Arabidopsis thaliana: one gene and its partners. The protein of the gene in region 2 interacts with the protein of the main gene of each other region in a pairwise test. Each region holds a gene or a part of one and is shown on either strand. Other genes may lie near its edges.

Region 1 (4,787 bases), on a different chromosome or scaffold from region 2:
AATTCACTAAAAACATTAACGAATCTCGATTTTCTATGCTAGAAAAAGCAAAACCCAGAAATGGTTTCCGATAAAAATCTAAACTTTATGTACCTTGAACAAAGAAGCCATCGCTTCACGGTGAGAAGAAGTGAATCTGCGATGATGAGAGAGGAGGATAGCTTAAATTAGGTCTATGCGGGGTGAAAGAAGAAGAAGATGAGCGAGAAATCGAGAAGGAGAGACACTTACACTCGTCTTCTTCAAAAAGGGAACCCTAATTTCTAAAGCAGAAGCAGAACTGATAGAAGAAGGCAAGGACACTCCGGCGACTCTCGAGTATCCGGTTTCATGGCCCACCTTACGAAACCTTACAAAGTTACAATTAATTCACAAATATTATTGTTGGTATTAATTTAATATTAAAACAAATAAAAAACCCAAATTTTTTGCATCTAAAATGTTCAATCAAATAACAATTCCGGTTTGGTTTCGGTTCAATTATTTCGGTTTCGCTTTATTTGTTTAAACCATAAAACCAATTTGTAATTCAATTTAGTTAGGTCTCGACATAATAATCGAACCCTACGAACCAACCCAAACCCGACCGAAAACCCTGATCCAAATCCAAAAATTTCAAATATTCAACGGGTCCTAAACTTCAAAACCCGAAAAACTCTAACCCAAACCCGATCTGAACAAATATCCAAACATACCTCAAATATTTGATATATTATTTATATTCATACTTAAATACAGAAAATATTTGGATATTTGGATATTTTAGTTATTTTGTGTATTTTAGGTTACTTTGGATATATTAAAGTAAAACTATTCGTGTTGTTTTGAGAGTTTTTGAAATTTTCAAGTAATTTGATAAATTTACATACAAAATTTTGATATTTTAATATTTAAATAAACCTGAACTCGAACGGTTTAAAATTTTAAAATACCCGAACGGGTCTTAAACTTCTAAATCTGAAATACACAAACTCGAAATATTCGATCCGAATACTGAACGCCCTTTAGTTTTAATTTGGTTTAAATGATATTCCGGTTTGGTTTGTTGTGGTTGTTGGTTTTAATTTCACAGTTCAGCATTAGCAAACCTTAAATTTTATATTTTTAAACATCCTTTATTTCTAATTTCTAGATTTTTGCCTATGAAGATATCTTCAAAGTAATGTTTTAAGAAAATACCTCTTTAAGGACAAGAAAATCATATAAGGAACTTTGCTGAGGAGACATAGAAATAGTTATTTCTCGTTGTTGTAAGCGGTGGTTTAGGTGACTCATTTTCGAAGTTAAAGCTCTCGTTAAATCTGTGTTGAAGCTTCATAATCTACTATGGTGTTCCCTCCAGATCACTTTTTATTACTCCAATACTCATTTTTGAGAGATTCACTGAAGATACTCTAACATACATACGTGTATCTGTAACGTAACGGGATTCAAATACCATTTTTTCTCTTTTTTTGTGTTATGTTGTAGGATCAAAAAAATTGTGACTTTTGTGTGGATTAACATTTGACAATAACGTTAGACGTATCCATTATTCATGTGTTAAAGTAAAATACTTATTCAATAAAAGTTAATATAATTCTAAATTTGTTTTATTTATCGAGTTAAATGAGTTAACTATAACATATATTACATATATGAAATCCTCTACAGCTGTTACACAACAATGTTCATCAATATCCAATGCTGCTATTCTTCTGAAATCTGGACATCAATCGCAAAGAATGTGTACAAAGATAGATTTTCCACAAAATGGTCTGCTGTGGTGAATTACATATCTGATTCTCAGCCTGATCGCATCCAAAGTTTCTTATCCAGGTACACATTCCAAGTCTCTATTCATTCCATTTGGAGGGAGAGAAATTCTCGTCGTCACGGAGAGAAGTCACGTTCAGCTTCAAACCTCATCCGACAGATAGACAAGACTATTAGAAACCAGCTATCGACAATCAAAAAGAAAGGGGATCTTCGACTCGAGAAGGGGCTGCAAGTATGGTTTGACATGCGTCCATAGCATCCTCTAAGAAAGAAGACTCTGTTTTTGCTCTCTCAATTCTATTTACTCTGTTTTTGATCTAGCTCTATTTCTCTTATTATCAAAATATCAAAAAAGCTGATGTAAAAAGTATATTTTTTCTTTTAAATATAATTTGACATTTTATTCAAAAAAAAAAAAAAACAATGTTCATCAATAAAGTTGATTGTTGTTGATTTCTTAAAACAGGAAATCAACGAAATCTCCCAAAGTAAATAAAATTGTGTATCAACCTGTATGCCATGTATCTAAATAACAAATCAAAATCTTTTAGCAATAGATTCAAAAAAAAAGAAAAAACTTTTTGCAATATGATATGTCATATAATGATAATTAAGTTGATACAAATTGGATTCTTAAAATAAACTGGATTCTTAAGCTGCTAACCATTTATTAAAAAAAGATATTGACACATTTACCTACTCACATATTATCAAACCATATATCTAAATCACCTACTACATATTTCATTCGAAACATTGTACATAAATATATCTCTATACAAAATTTAAATGACAACATTGTCAACATAGAAGTATAGAACCGTGGCTATTAGCTATTCATATTGGGCCGACAAAAAAAAAAAAAAAAGGCTATTCATATTGGTGGGTACTAAAATAAGGCTTGGAAATTCATATTAATGTAAAACTCATTTAATCGTTAGAGAGCGTGGTAGTCATGTAGATTAATGAAGGAGCGTGAGATCAAGCAATCAAATTACGCAAAGTCACGCCGCAGTAACGGGACGTTAAGGCAAAAAGCCGTCACAAAAACATTAAAACCTCTCACATTGTCTGTTTTTTGGGCGGCGCTTTTCAGTCAAACCCTCGTTGACCGTCTCTTTCTCTTTCTCTAAACCAAAAACCTTTTCCTTTATAAATTAAACCAAAAACAACGTCACTTCTCTATCTAAACGAGAATATATCTCTTCTTTTATAAGCAATGGCTCCAAGACAGGCGAACGGTAGAAGCATTGCCGTGAGTGAAGGCGGCGGAGGGAAGACGATGACGATGACGACGATGCGGAAGGAAGTGCACTTTAGAGGTGTGAGGAAGCGTCCATGGGGTAGATACGCGGCGGAGATCCGTGACCCGGGAAAGAAAACCCGGGTTTGGCTCGGGACATTCGACACGGCGGAGGAAGCTGCAAGAGCTTACGACACCGCCGCTAGAGAGTTTCGTGGCTCCAAAGCAAAGACTAATTTCCCTCTTCCCGGAGAGTCTACTACGGTTAACGACGGTGGCGAGAACGATTCTTACGTCAACCGTACGACGGTGACGACGGCGCGTGAGATGACGCGTCAGAGATTTCCGTTTGCATGTCACCGGGAGCGTAAAGTCGTCGGTGGTTATGCTTCTGCTGGTTTTTTCTTCGATCCGTCAAGAGCTGCTTCGTTAAGAGCAGAGCTTTCTCGGGTTTGTCCGGTTCGGTTTGATCCGGTTAATATCGAGTTGAGTATTGGTATTCGAGAAACCGTAAAAGTTGAACCGAGAAGAGAACTAAACCTGGATCTTAACCTAGCTCCACCGGTGGTGGACGTTTAGATTTTTTTCTTCTTTTCATAATTTGTATTTTACATTGCCGGAAAATAATTAATGTTTTCTTTAGTAGATGAGAAAAAGAAAAATCTCCTATGTTTTTGGCTAAGTAAGAGGAATTTTTTTTCAGAAATCTCCTATGGTTCCCTAATTACGTGGATGTAATTAATTACTAATCAAATATCTCCTTTTGATATTTTTTTTCTACTTTTGATGTTTTTTCTTAAATGTCTTAAAATGACATGATGGTTGGTTGATGTATCAAATAGGTAGTAGATATCACTCCATTAAATGGATGTGGAATATGAAACCAAGAAACATCGAACATTTAGATGGTCTGTCAACATCAAACAATTTAGTATAGGAGAGTACCCAAAAATAAAAATAAAAAAATCGGATGATCATGACACAAAAAAGTAGTTATCGTTTTCATTAGTTTTCTCATTATATTGAATTATGGTTTCATGGTTTGGTTTATAAATTAGACATGTAAAATTCTTTTTTCATCTATGAATTGTGTAGGAAGAAAATTAAATTCAAAAGTAAAAAAACTGTAGTGAGTTATGAGTTTTTTTTTAAAATGTATTTGAAAAGTAGAGTGGTAGCATCATGAGTCCAATCTTCGAGTTTCGTGTAGATGGGGATGATGGCATGAGTGTCAGGTGGGAGGCACGTGTGCTTTAGCCGTCCATAATCTGTTTTGTTCCTATGCTTTCAATTTTTTTAAACCACAAACATATTTTGGCTAGGGTGGCTTTCTTACGTCTAATTATTATGTTTTGGTTTTATTTTTGTCATCTAAAATTTTATTAATAAAAAGATGAAATATATATACCGCTGATAAAAATTAAATAAAGAGATAAAATTATATTATATGTTAGTAATAACTCTTTTGAGATGTAATTAATTTTGTTGAAAAAAAATCATAAGTACTAAAAAGGATCGCATCTAAACACTATTGAACAAAAGTTAGAGAGATTTTCATAAAGGTTCCCCTATAGAATATCTAAATGTCGGAACCACCAATAAATCCGAATAGACCAGGCACCAAAGATAAGCAAATAACAAACCAATATGGATGAAAATAAAAATCCAACACGACCATAGGACTCAAATAGAACTACTAACACACTTCACCAACAAACCACAGAAAGCAAGAAACACTAGAATTAAGACAAAAACTTTAAATTGACTGCAGATAAATCACGTAAGA
Region 2 (4,015 bases):
AAAATACTTTCTTGCACTTTTTTGGCCATCGATGACCATTAGAACCGTCAGAGTTGCTTGAAGCTGAAACCGTAGTTCCCTAAACAAAAACTGTTGATACTCAAATCATACAATTCATGTAAAGGTTTAAGGAGAAGGACGGATAATCTCTTATAAGACGAATTAGGTTTGGCGAATACAAGATTATACAAGGTGAAGGTACGAGTTTACAAGGACAATCCGAGAAGACAATGTATCCAACTCGTTTGAATAAAGGTGCAAGAATGACGGACAAGGCGTTTGGTTCGAAAGATGTTCGTACGTACTAACGATTAAAAAAAGGCTTCCTAGGAACTCAATGGGGAAACTTGTACGAAGGAGATTACATGTACTCTCTACATATGTGTCAGCGTGAAATTCGGGATCCTTTCTCGACAGTGTTTTTCCGCTTTTATAGGGAAGATATATGCGGTCATGAACTCGGGATGATTTTTCTTTTCTGCTCCCAGCAAATTGACGATACTTAATGGGCTGAGCTTGTGTAACGGACCAAACGCAAGTCTCTTTCTTATGGGCCTAACTATATTTGGGCCGGGCTTTTTGGAATGGGGCGGAACCCATGTCCAACAAAAAAACAGAAAACTAAAGTATTAATATATGTTGCTAAAAGAAATTTTAATTGTTAAGAAAAATCTTGTTATTCATGGAAAAAGAAAATAAGTTTTTCTTCAAATTTTATTAAACATGGTATGATTAAATTTATTTTTATACTATAAACTATATAATCTCTTTTTCTAGCTTAAAGTGAGCTGGAATTTTCTTTAAGAATTTTAAACCATTTTCTTACTCAAGTTTTTTTTTTTAATCTAAATAAAGGTTAAATAGTATTTTTCTCTAAATACATATTAACCAATCTATAAAGTAAAAGAATTTAAGGGAAAACTATTAAAAGTTTATTAAAGTAATTTTTATTTACACAAAAATTAGTTTCTTATTCTTTAGATTTAGTTTTCCTTCCTTTTTTTTTTCTTTTTTTTTCCTTGAGAATCTTGAAAATAATATATATATATATATATTAAAATATATATCTGTGTATTAAGAAATATTAAAATAGATGTATGAAGCTAAATACAGAAACAAATCTTAAATAATTATTGTCCAGCTAAGTGTGAGCTGGAAATTTCTTTAACAGATATAAAACCACATTCTTACTCAATTGTTCCTTTTATTATCTCTTTAATTTATTTATATTATAGTTTTTGATATCCGTTTTTAATTAATGTTTTCATAACCGTTGGAACCTTTAGGTTCGAAAGACAAACGAATTTTGACAAATTAGAAAACGGAAATAAATAACTGTACATAAAAGTTATGTTTCGGTAAATATTATGACAGAATTATTTATTCTAGAATACCAACGAAATTGTTCGTGTCCAAAAAAGAAAAAATGAATCAAATTTGTTGTGAAGAGTTTAATTTAATCCATTGTTGAAATCAAATTCTCTACTAAACTTCAAACATGGACAAACAGTTTTAAATTACATCTATAATTAATTTTAGGTATTATTATTCATCTTAAAAAAACATGAGCATACAAGAAAAAAAGACAAATGGATACCGATCGAACTAAAACAAACCCTAGTTCAACTCTCAAACTGAAAAACATGAAGAGGAAAGAAAAAGCAAACAGAAACGAACTAAAACGTCCAGAACTGAACACTCTTAAATCTCCAATATTTATTTTAAAGACTCCAAATTGGCCTTCTCAGCGACGCCGTCTCCTCCTTCACAAGCTCAAACTGTGGTTGTGGCTGTTGTTGTTGCTGCTGATGTTGTATCACTGGCGGTAGCATTACCATTAAAGGTGGAATTGTAATTATCACTAATAGTACTGTAATTAGTTGAAGGTGCATGATCTGTCATTGTAGAAACCGGAAACACCATCTGACGATGACCAGTATTTACAACCGTACAAGGGAAAACGTTATTACTAATATTATCACCATTAAAGGTGTAACTAGGAAAATTCCTATTTGGCTGGATATCTTCATTGGAGGTGGTGGTGACACCATGTCCCGTGGCTGCGAAAATGGCAGGCTCGGCATTCTGGAGGAGCCAACTGACAGTTTCACCATCGGTTTTAAAGCCGAGTTCTTTTGTCAATCTAAATAGTTGGGGAGCAACACTCGGCGGGATCCGAATGCGACGATCACGGCCACCAATTTTCAAATGGCGGTCTTTTGGAGTCCTTCTTGCCTTTTGGCTGTTGTTAATTCCATTTTTCGAATCCATTTTTCTCTGTTTTTTTTTTCTTTTTCTTTTGTAAATGGAAGTGGAAAATATGTTTGTTTCACTTGGATTATATAGAAACGTTACAGAAAACTCTATTTCTATTTATGTTATGTATGGAAAACAATAATGGTGTAACAAACTAATAATTAAACTAATTGGTAAATAGAAGAAATCTTAAATTTATATAGGTATATTTGAGAATGAAATATTATCATGTAATATAATATGTAGTATAGAAAATATATTTAGTGGACCTGAAAAAAAGAAGTTATATTGGAATAATTAATTGATAGGTCCACTAAAAAAAGGAAAATAAACCTTTCTTCTGGCAGTTTACAGAAATTATTATTTACTGATACAACTGTACAAGTATAGTCCTATTTTATCCTATTTTAATTTTTTTAAAGTTAAGGTTTTAGTTTTTTTCCTTAGAAATTAATGATATTCCAACATTGTTATTTAAAATATTATATTGTTATTTTTAAACTAGGTGTTTGGATAGGAGTTCGCATATTTTTTTTTGGACGGTTAATTTGTTCTTCAGATATTGTCTATTTGTTTATTTATCAAACTATATTTCATTTAGGGTCAAATTCCCCGGACTATCAATTCTGAAAATAGAGATTCAGACTTAAAAATATATATCCAGAAAATTCCCTTAAGCTAACCCATTCGGGATAAAAAGTTTTTGAGGCTTAATCCCACCAGATTCAAGCCGGCCTAAAAAAATTTTAATTTTTTTTTTTACTTTTCTTTTGTTAATATTTTTCTTTAATTGGAATATTTGTTTTTGTTTTTTTTAATAGTATTGAAAACCCTAAACCTAGTTTTTCAATTGTGCCTTACTATAAATCTAAAAAACAAATCTTGGCTCGACTGTCTAGATTAAAATCTTCTGATTTTATATTTTATTTGTTATGAGTTTAAATAAAAAAATTAGATTATTTTTTTTGATTTTAAACCTTTTTTTTTGAAAATAAACTGGCTTTCATGGTTATTTAAATTTCAACTGATTTGTTTTGTTCATATATCCATCTTTCAGAAATATTATAAATTATAAATTTGTTTTTTTCTGGAAAGAAAAACATAAAAAACCTGGAAAAGTCTTGTCCCTGTTATTACCAGATCTTGAAATATAAGTTCAAATTTTTTTATTTCAAAATTTTTACTAACCGAACCAGACTAAATAAAATATATTCGAATTTTCTGGACTTTGTCAGACTGGACTAGTCCAATTGACATGTCTAAACTATTATAATAAATTATTTGTATGTAAGAAAATATATCCAAGTAAAATGATGGGTTACAAGACAGATGGTTTAGAAATAACCTGATATCATATTACCCGACTCTTACACATACTTTGTTTTCTTAAAACGGATAAGAGTTGGATAACATACTGTATATTGTTTGGTCAGCCTTACTGTTTTCATTTCCAAACTGACTTTTCAAATAAAGAACTAAAAAAAAGTCATCACCATCATTTTGAGCATGTTTCTATAACTCAAGCGGAACACTTTTAGAATTCGTCAAATCAAATATATTTTGACTCATTTTAAATCAAATATTCACTTTTACGAGAATAATTAACGAATTCTATCATCATTGAGCTATGATTTCATACGTATACCTTATAATTTAGATTATACTCTAAATTAGTGTGATGTTAAAAATTCAACAAATATTTAACCCTCAAACACTTACCGAGGTACTGTGTAAATGACTTCTTACATACTATTGAGCG
Region 3 (5,393 bases), on a different chromosome or scaffold from region 2:
AAGTAATGGAACGCCATGCCCCACGCCCACGGGCAACCAATTCATAATGCATGGCAAATAATCATTTGAGAATATGATTACCGGTAAAGATAGACTTAAAATATTAGGTAGTTTGGTTATTAAAGATAAACTTAGCTGGAAATGTGTTTGTTTCAATTAGAAATCATAATCTAAACATAAAGAAACTTAGAGTACTTCTATATATGTTTAATTGATGTCCAACAAAGTTATAATTTATCTTAAACCCTTTACCAAAAAAGATTATTTTAAGTTTAGCGTTTATTTAAAATCACTGTAGAAATATACAGTTTTGTTTTACGTTGCATCAACATTTAAAAGAAAAAAAGAAGGAAAATTGGTATATAATTAACAACCAAGTAGAAGTTAGCTATCAGAAAATAAAACAAAATTATCGGCATATAACCAAAATGAAAAGAAGAATGTCACTTACAATAATTAAGTGCGAAAATATAGAAGAGCTACATATATCTGCGTATGTATAGAAACAGCTAGCTAGCATGCAATGTAGCGGGAAAGCGAGTGCATGGACTTCAGTGAGTGTGTCTCATATAATGCCATTTCAACTTTTAACCTAAAAAGCAAAACTCTCTCTTTGTTTCAACCAAAATACAAAACAACCACTTGCGAGAGTCAATAAAGCATCAGACAAACAACTAACCACATACACACCACAGCTTACATATATTGATGTCTTTGTACACATTCCATTGGAAATATCAAATTCTTGAAAAGATTCTTCTTGTTATCATCTCATAAACTTATTTAGTATATATTTATCAAAAATAAAAAATTAATATAAATATTATTGAGTCACCTGTTTTACTAAGAGTTTTAATATAAGTATATAACAGTACAAAAAGTTTTAGATTTCAATGTTTGTTTATATAGAAATATACTAGGTCTACCCCCTTTTCAACGGGAAATGCTATTATTATTTCCTTTTAACTTCTTGCTCTTGTACGTACGTAGGAATTAAGACAGAGATATTATTTTAACAACATCAAATGTGTCTTTATTCAGAAATTTCTCTAAATGAAACATTCCTACATACCAACGATCTAGAGAAATACTTAGATGGCCAAATCAGAAGAGAGTACAACTGATCACTAGTGAATTTGTCAAGAATAAACGCGAAAAAAAGATGAGCTAAACTGAGCATTCATAATTAAGATTACATCGCAAAAATAATCTACATAGGATACATCAAACTCGCAGATTAATAAGGGAATTCTTAAGTAGATTTTGTAGTTTTAGAGACTTATTCCTATTTTTATTTTTATTTTGAATTTCTAGATACCAATTGATTCCTCTGAACCTAAACCAGATCTACATAAGAATTCCACAATTTTCTGCCTCACCTTCATGACTTCATCTCCCTTCAGGATGGAGAGGAAAAAGCTCGAGGGTTACATTGTCAATGATTTTATTAAAAGTAGTTGCCATAGTACTACTATTTTTGTTTCTCCTGTTCTCTATCTCCAAGTTCTCAAATCCCCAGCTCCTACATGTCCTCTTGTACTCATTCTCTTCCACTAACTCCTCCTTCTCCACCATTGGTTCTCTCTACACAATCATAAAAATTATCCTTAAATATAGTTGATCAAAACCACAAAACTATACAAAATCCTTAAATTCCTACCATAATGTCTAGTGACGATGATGTTCTTGTCTTCATAGTTACACTCGGATTAAAGACACCAGTGGTCGTGAAGCTGCTTTGGCAACTTAGGCTGATGAGGTTGTTCCTCTTCTGCTTCTGTCTCTCGCGGGCTTTGTGGTTCTGGAACCAATAGAACACATTTTTCCCTTCGATTTTCCCGTACTTACCGAGTTGCAATGTGATATGCTCAATCTGTTGAGCATTAGGAGTACGCATTCCACCTTTGTACAACATCTCAAGTATCCCTATCTGTTCTTGAGTCGGGTTCCACCTTGTCCCTCCCGGGTGCGTCTCCAACTGAACCCACACATTATTTCATTACATTTGTTAGGAATCATACATTAAAATAAATAAATAAAATTAATAATAAAAGGAACCACTCCAGTCGTTATAATTTATAAATGTCAAAGTATTAGGTATGCCGCAATTATCAAAATTCTTCTAGAGTGAATTCTTCTTCTTTTTTCAAACGAAAGAAACGATGTAAAATGTACGAAGTACAATAATGGAACTGACTTGATGAGGAGGGTCTCGTTTGTGTTCAAATTTTGTCGGACCGGTTTGATCGGGTCTAATGAAGTTTTTAAGGTCAAAAGTGGCTGAAGTGACGCCGGAGGAAGAAGAAGGAGGGGAGGGAGGGCTGCCGGAGAGCTTAGGGGCGAGAGGACGGAGGCGTTTGCAGCTTAGGCTAAGGGATGATGTCGAGTCATGTTGATCCCACGATGAAGAAAACCCATTCGAAAACTCATGAACCTTCATTGCTATATGTTAAAACTAGCAAATGCTATGCATGCCTTTCTCGTTACAAGACTTAAGCTATGTATATATAGAGGAAGATAAGTGTGAAATGATAGTGTTAGTGTATAATGATATCATTGGTGATATCCAGTTGGGTAGGAAAAAGAAAAAGAATGGAAAATGAACAGATGATTTTTACAAAAGTGGGACGTCGGGAAACCAAAGACCAAATGATGGGATATGGTTGACTTTTATCATTTAAAATCTCCTTGTCCTTATTGTAAATATATACACTCAGAAATGTAAAAGCAATAGGTAAAGAACAAATTTGAAACTAATTGAAGACAGTGATCTTTGTTTGAGAAAGTGAAATCTCATTGTGTGAATATAGATATGCGTACGTGTGTCTCTACATACACGTAATACATGCGTACGTGTGATATCTGATATGTTCATGTCTGCATGGAGCACTACTTTAAATTCGGCATAGTAATGTATCAACCAAATTTTAGTTTCATGCTTACGCATGTCATGCGTGAATACCGCATAATTTATCTCTCTTATAAAATTTTCCTCTACTTGTAGTTGTAGTCTATAGTACTATGTCTTGAGATCCTATAATTTAGGCAGAATGTTGAGGGACATGAACCACGCTAAAAATAATATGTTATAGATACGTGATATCAAAAGACTTTACTATTCATTGAGATTGACATTGACCTACGAGCCAATAGGTTTGCTTTTACAGGAAAAAGGTTTGAATTTTTTTTTTTTGGGATCAAATTCTAACAAATGCATGTGATTTATTAGAAAAATCCCAAACCAAAGCTTGACAATCTTTCATTCTACTAGTTGTATAGGGACATAATTTCTCTCTCACCTTTCTTTATTTTAAGAAATTATTTTAGAAATAAAACACTGAAAAAAGTTAGCTTTAATGATAGGATGTCGAATGCTTTTCGGTGGCTCTCAAGTCTCAACTACTTTATTTAGAGAAAAGAAGAATGAGAAGAAGAATGAATAAGGGGAAAAGGTATCTTCCAATCCCAATACTCGAAATTGCTTTTATTACTTTTGTTAAGATACGGATTTTGCCTAAATTAGTGGTAGTTTATAATGAGCCAGGACAGACTTTTATGCGGAAAAGAAAAGGCTAGAAATATCTTAATGTTATATTATCATTGTTTATTTTGATAATAATACATCATTATAAATTTAAGCTTATATGTTTATTAGATATTGATACAAAAGCATGGTTTGGTTTGGCAATGTCAAGCGTCCCATTCACTTTAGATCAGTGTATTGTATTGTTATTCTCTTGTACATCGGGAACTGCAGAACCTCAATTTCCCAAGTAATTTGGGTATTTTACTAATGAAAAGTAGTAACGTATGATATTCCGGAATTACAAAGTTTTTTCTTCTAATTACTTTTGAGTTTTGACTAATATATCATCATCTTTTTATTTGATATGTAGTCTAGAATTACAAAGAACAGAGACCTTGAGTATGAACTGTGAAGAATAGTCAAAATTATTTAGTCTCGGCTAATCCAGTTATGATGCAAGTATATGTACAGTACGAAACTTACACTAATATATATGGATATCAAAGTTATGAAGGTGGAAAGTCACAGTTCATATCACTGGTTAAAACATAAAAATTGATATCATGGAGGAAATATAGAAGTACCAGTGTAGGTTGATCATGACTAATAGCTAAAATTAATAACATCTTTATCCTATGAAGATGGATTTTTTTATAGAAATTTCACATTTTTAAAAAATAATGTATACTGACAATTTTAACCTTTTAATATATTTTAAAAATAATAAAAAATATTTATCTACTTATTTACTTAGGATAAAACAGGTAAACAATTTTAAAATTTATATTAAAAATACAAAATTTGTATCTTTGTGGGACAATTTTTTTCCATAGAAAATTCATCTTTGTTGGACGGAAGGAATATGAAAGCTCAAAGTTCTAAAAAGACTGCTCTATCATTCATCAGATACTGGAAAATGAGTGGAACTTTACTGAACCCAAAGCATAACAAGAAACTGGTAATACCATTCATATTTTTTGAAAAATGTCATCACACGATGGATAACCTGATTCGTGTGTCAAGCTGTGATCAGATGGTTATTTCTTCAATTATCTATGGCCCATACTATATCGTCGATATTCATATGCAGTGACCCTCCTCCACTACACTTGCCTCTACCACTGTTCATATGTATTTTTTTAGGACACATATTTAACATGTTTATTTTTCGATCCATATGTAATACTATGTCGGTAATGACAGATTACTGATGGTTTGAGGTTTAGGGTTTCAAAATTTGAAATAAACTAGCATAACATGTTCACAACCAATCATTGTTGGATCTCTTTTTCTTCCAATTTGTTTACTTCGATCTCCTCCTCATCTTTTTTTTAGCTCTTTAGCTCTTCTTCCTTCCTTTGATTTGTATTGTTTGTTGATGAGATATGTAGCACCCTTCGAAAAATTCGACTTAAATCGAGAATAATTCCATTAATCCAAGTAATTCTGATAAATGGGTAATCGGTCTATGGGAAAAAGCTTAAATAAAACGTCGTTGACCTGCAATAGGGAAATGAAAAGAGTGAGACACATCTAGGTGGATAATCTTGAGGACCCGAAAAAATAGAAAAATAAGAGATTCAAGGCCGAAAAATAAGAAAAGAGAACATATGTTGAATAGAAATCCATTCATATAAATCGACTGATCGAGAACCGAACAAAGGTTTGCCTTAGGTTTTGTTTGTTTTTGAACAAACTCTAACTTCTTATTCAAGGAACATAAACCATTGCAATTGATTGTTTTTTTTATCAAGATTTCAAGAAAAGGAGTTATTTTCTCTTTACTTAAAATTAAATAAGTTGTTTGTGAAACCGTAGTTTCTACGTTTTAATCCGCTCCCAAAACCAAATGAACCAAATGATAAAA

Evidence for each region. The genes of interacting proteins can lie anywhere in the genome.
Region 1: the proteins of TCP16 (region 2) and ERF9 interact in binary tests that used the Arabidopsis thaliana proteins (3 or more experiments, as listed by UniProt).
Region 3: the proteins of TCP16 (region 2) and WOX4 interact in binary tests that used the Arabidopsis thaliana proteins (3 or more experiments, as listed by UniProt).

Annotation. Positions count from the first base shown.
Region 1 is NC_003076.8:17,803,765-17,808,551, forward strand, and holds ERF9 (erf domain protein 9), read left to right. Parts: upstream 1-2,632; 5' UTR 2,633-2,977; coding exon 2,978-3,580; 3' UTR 3,581-3,777; downstream 3,778-4,787. Other genes in the region: CBP20 (CAP-binding protein 20), read right to left, coding at 94-111.
Region 2 is NC_003074.8:16,529,435-16,533,449, reverse strand, and holds TCP16 (TCP domain protein 16), read right to left. Parts: upstream 2,272-4,015; coding exon 1,774-2,271; downstream 1-1,773. UniProt on the Arabidopsis thaliana protein: Required during early processes in pollen development.
Region 3 is NC_003070.9:17,235,514-17,240,906, forward strand, and holds WOX4 (WUSCHEL related homeobox 4), read right to left. Parts: upstream 2,673-5,393; 5' UTR 2,441-2,672; coding exon 2,198-2,440; intron 1,979-2,197; coding exon 1,661-1,978; coding exon of another isoform or gene 1,649-1,660; exon of another isoform or gene 1,585-1,648; coding exon 1,390-1,584; 3' UTR 1,011-1,389; downstream 1-1,010. UniProt on the Arabidopsis thaliana protein: Promotes differentiation and/or maintenance of the vascular procambium, the initial cells of the developing vasculature.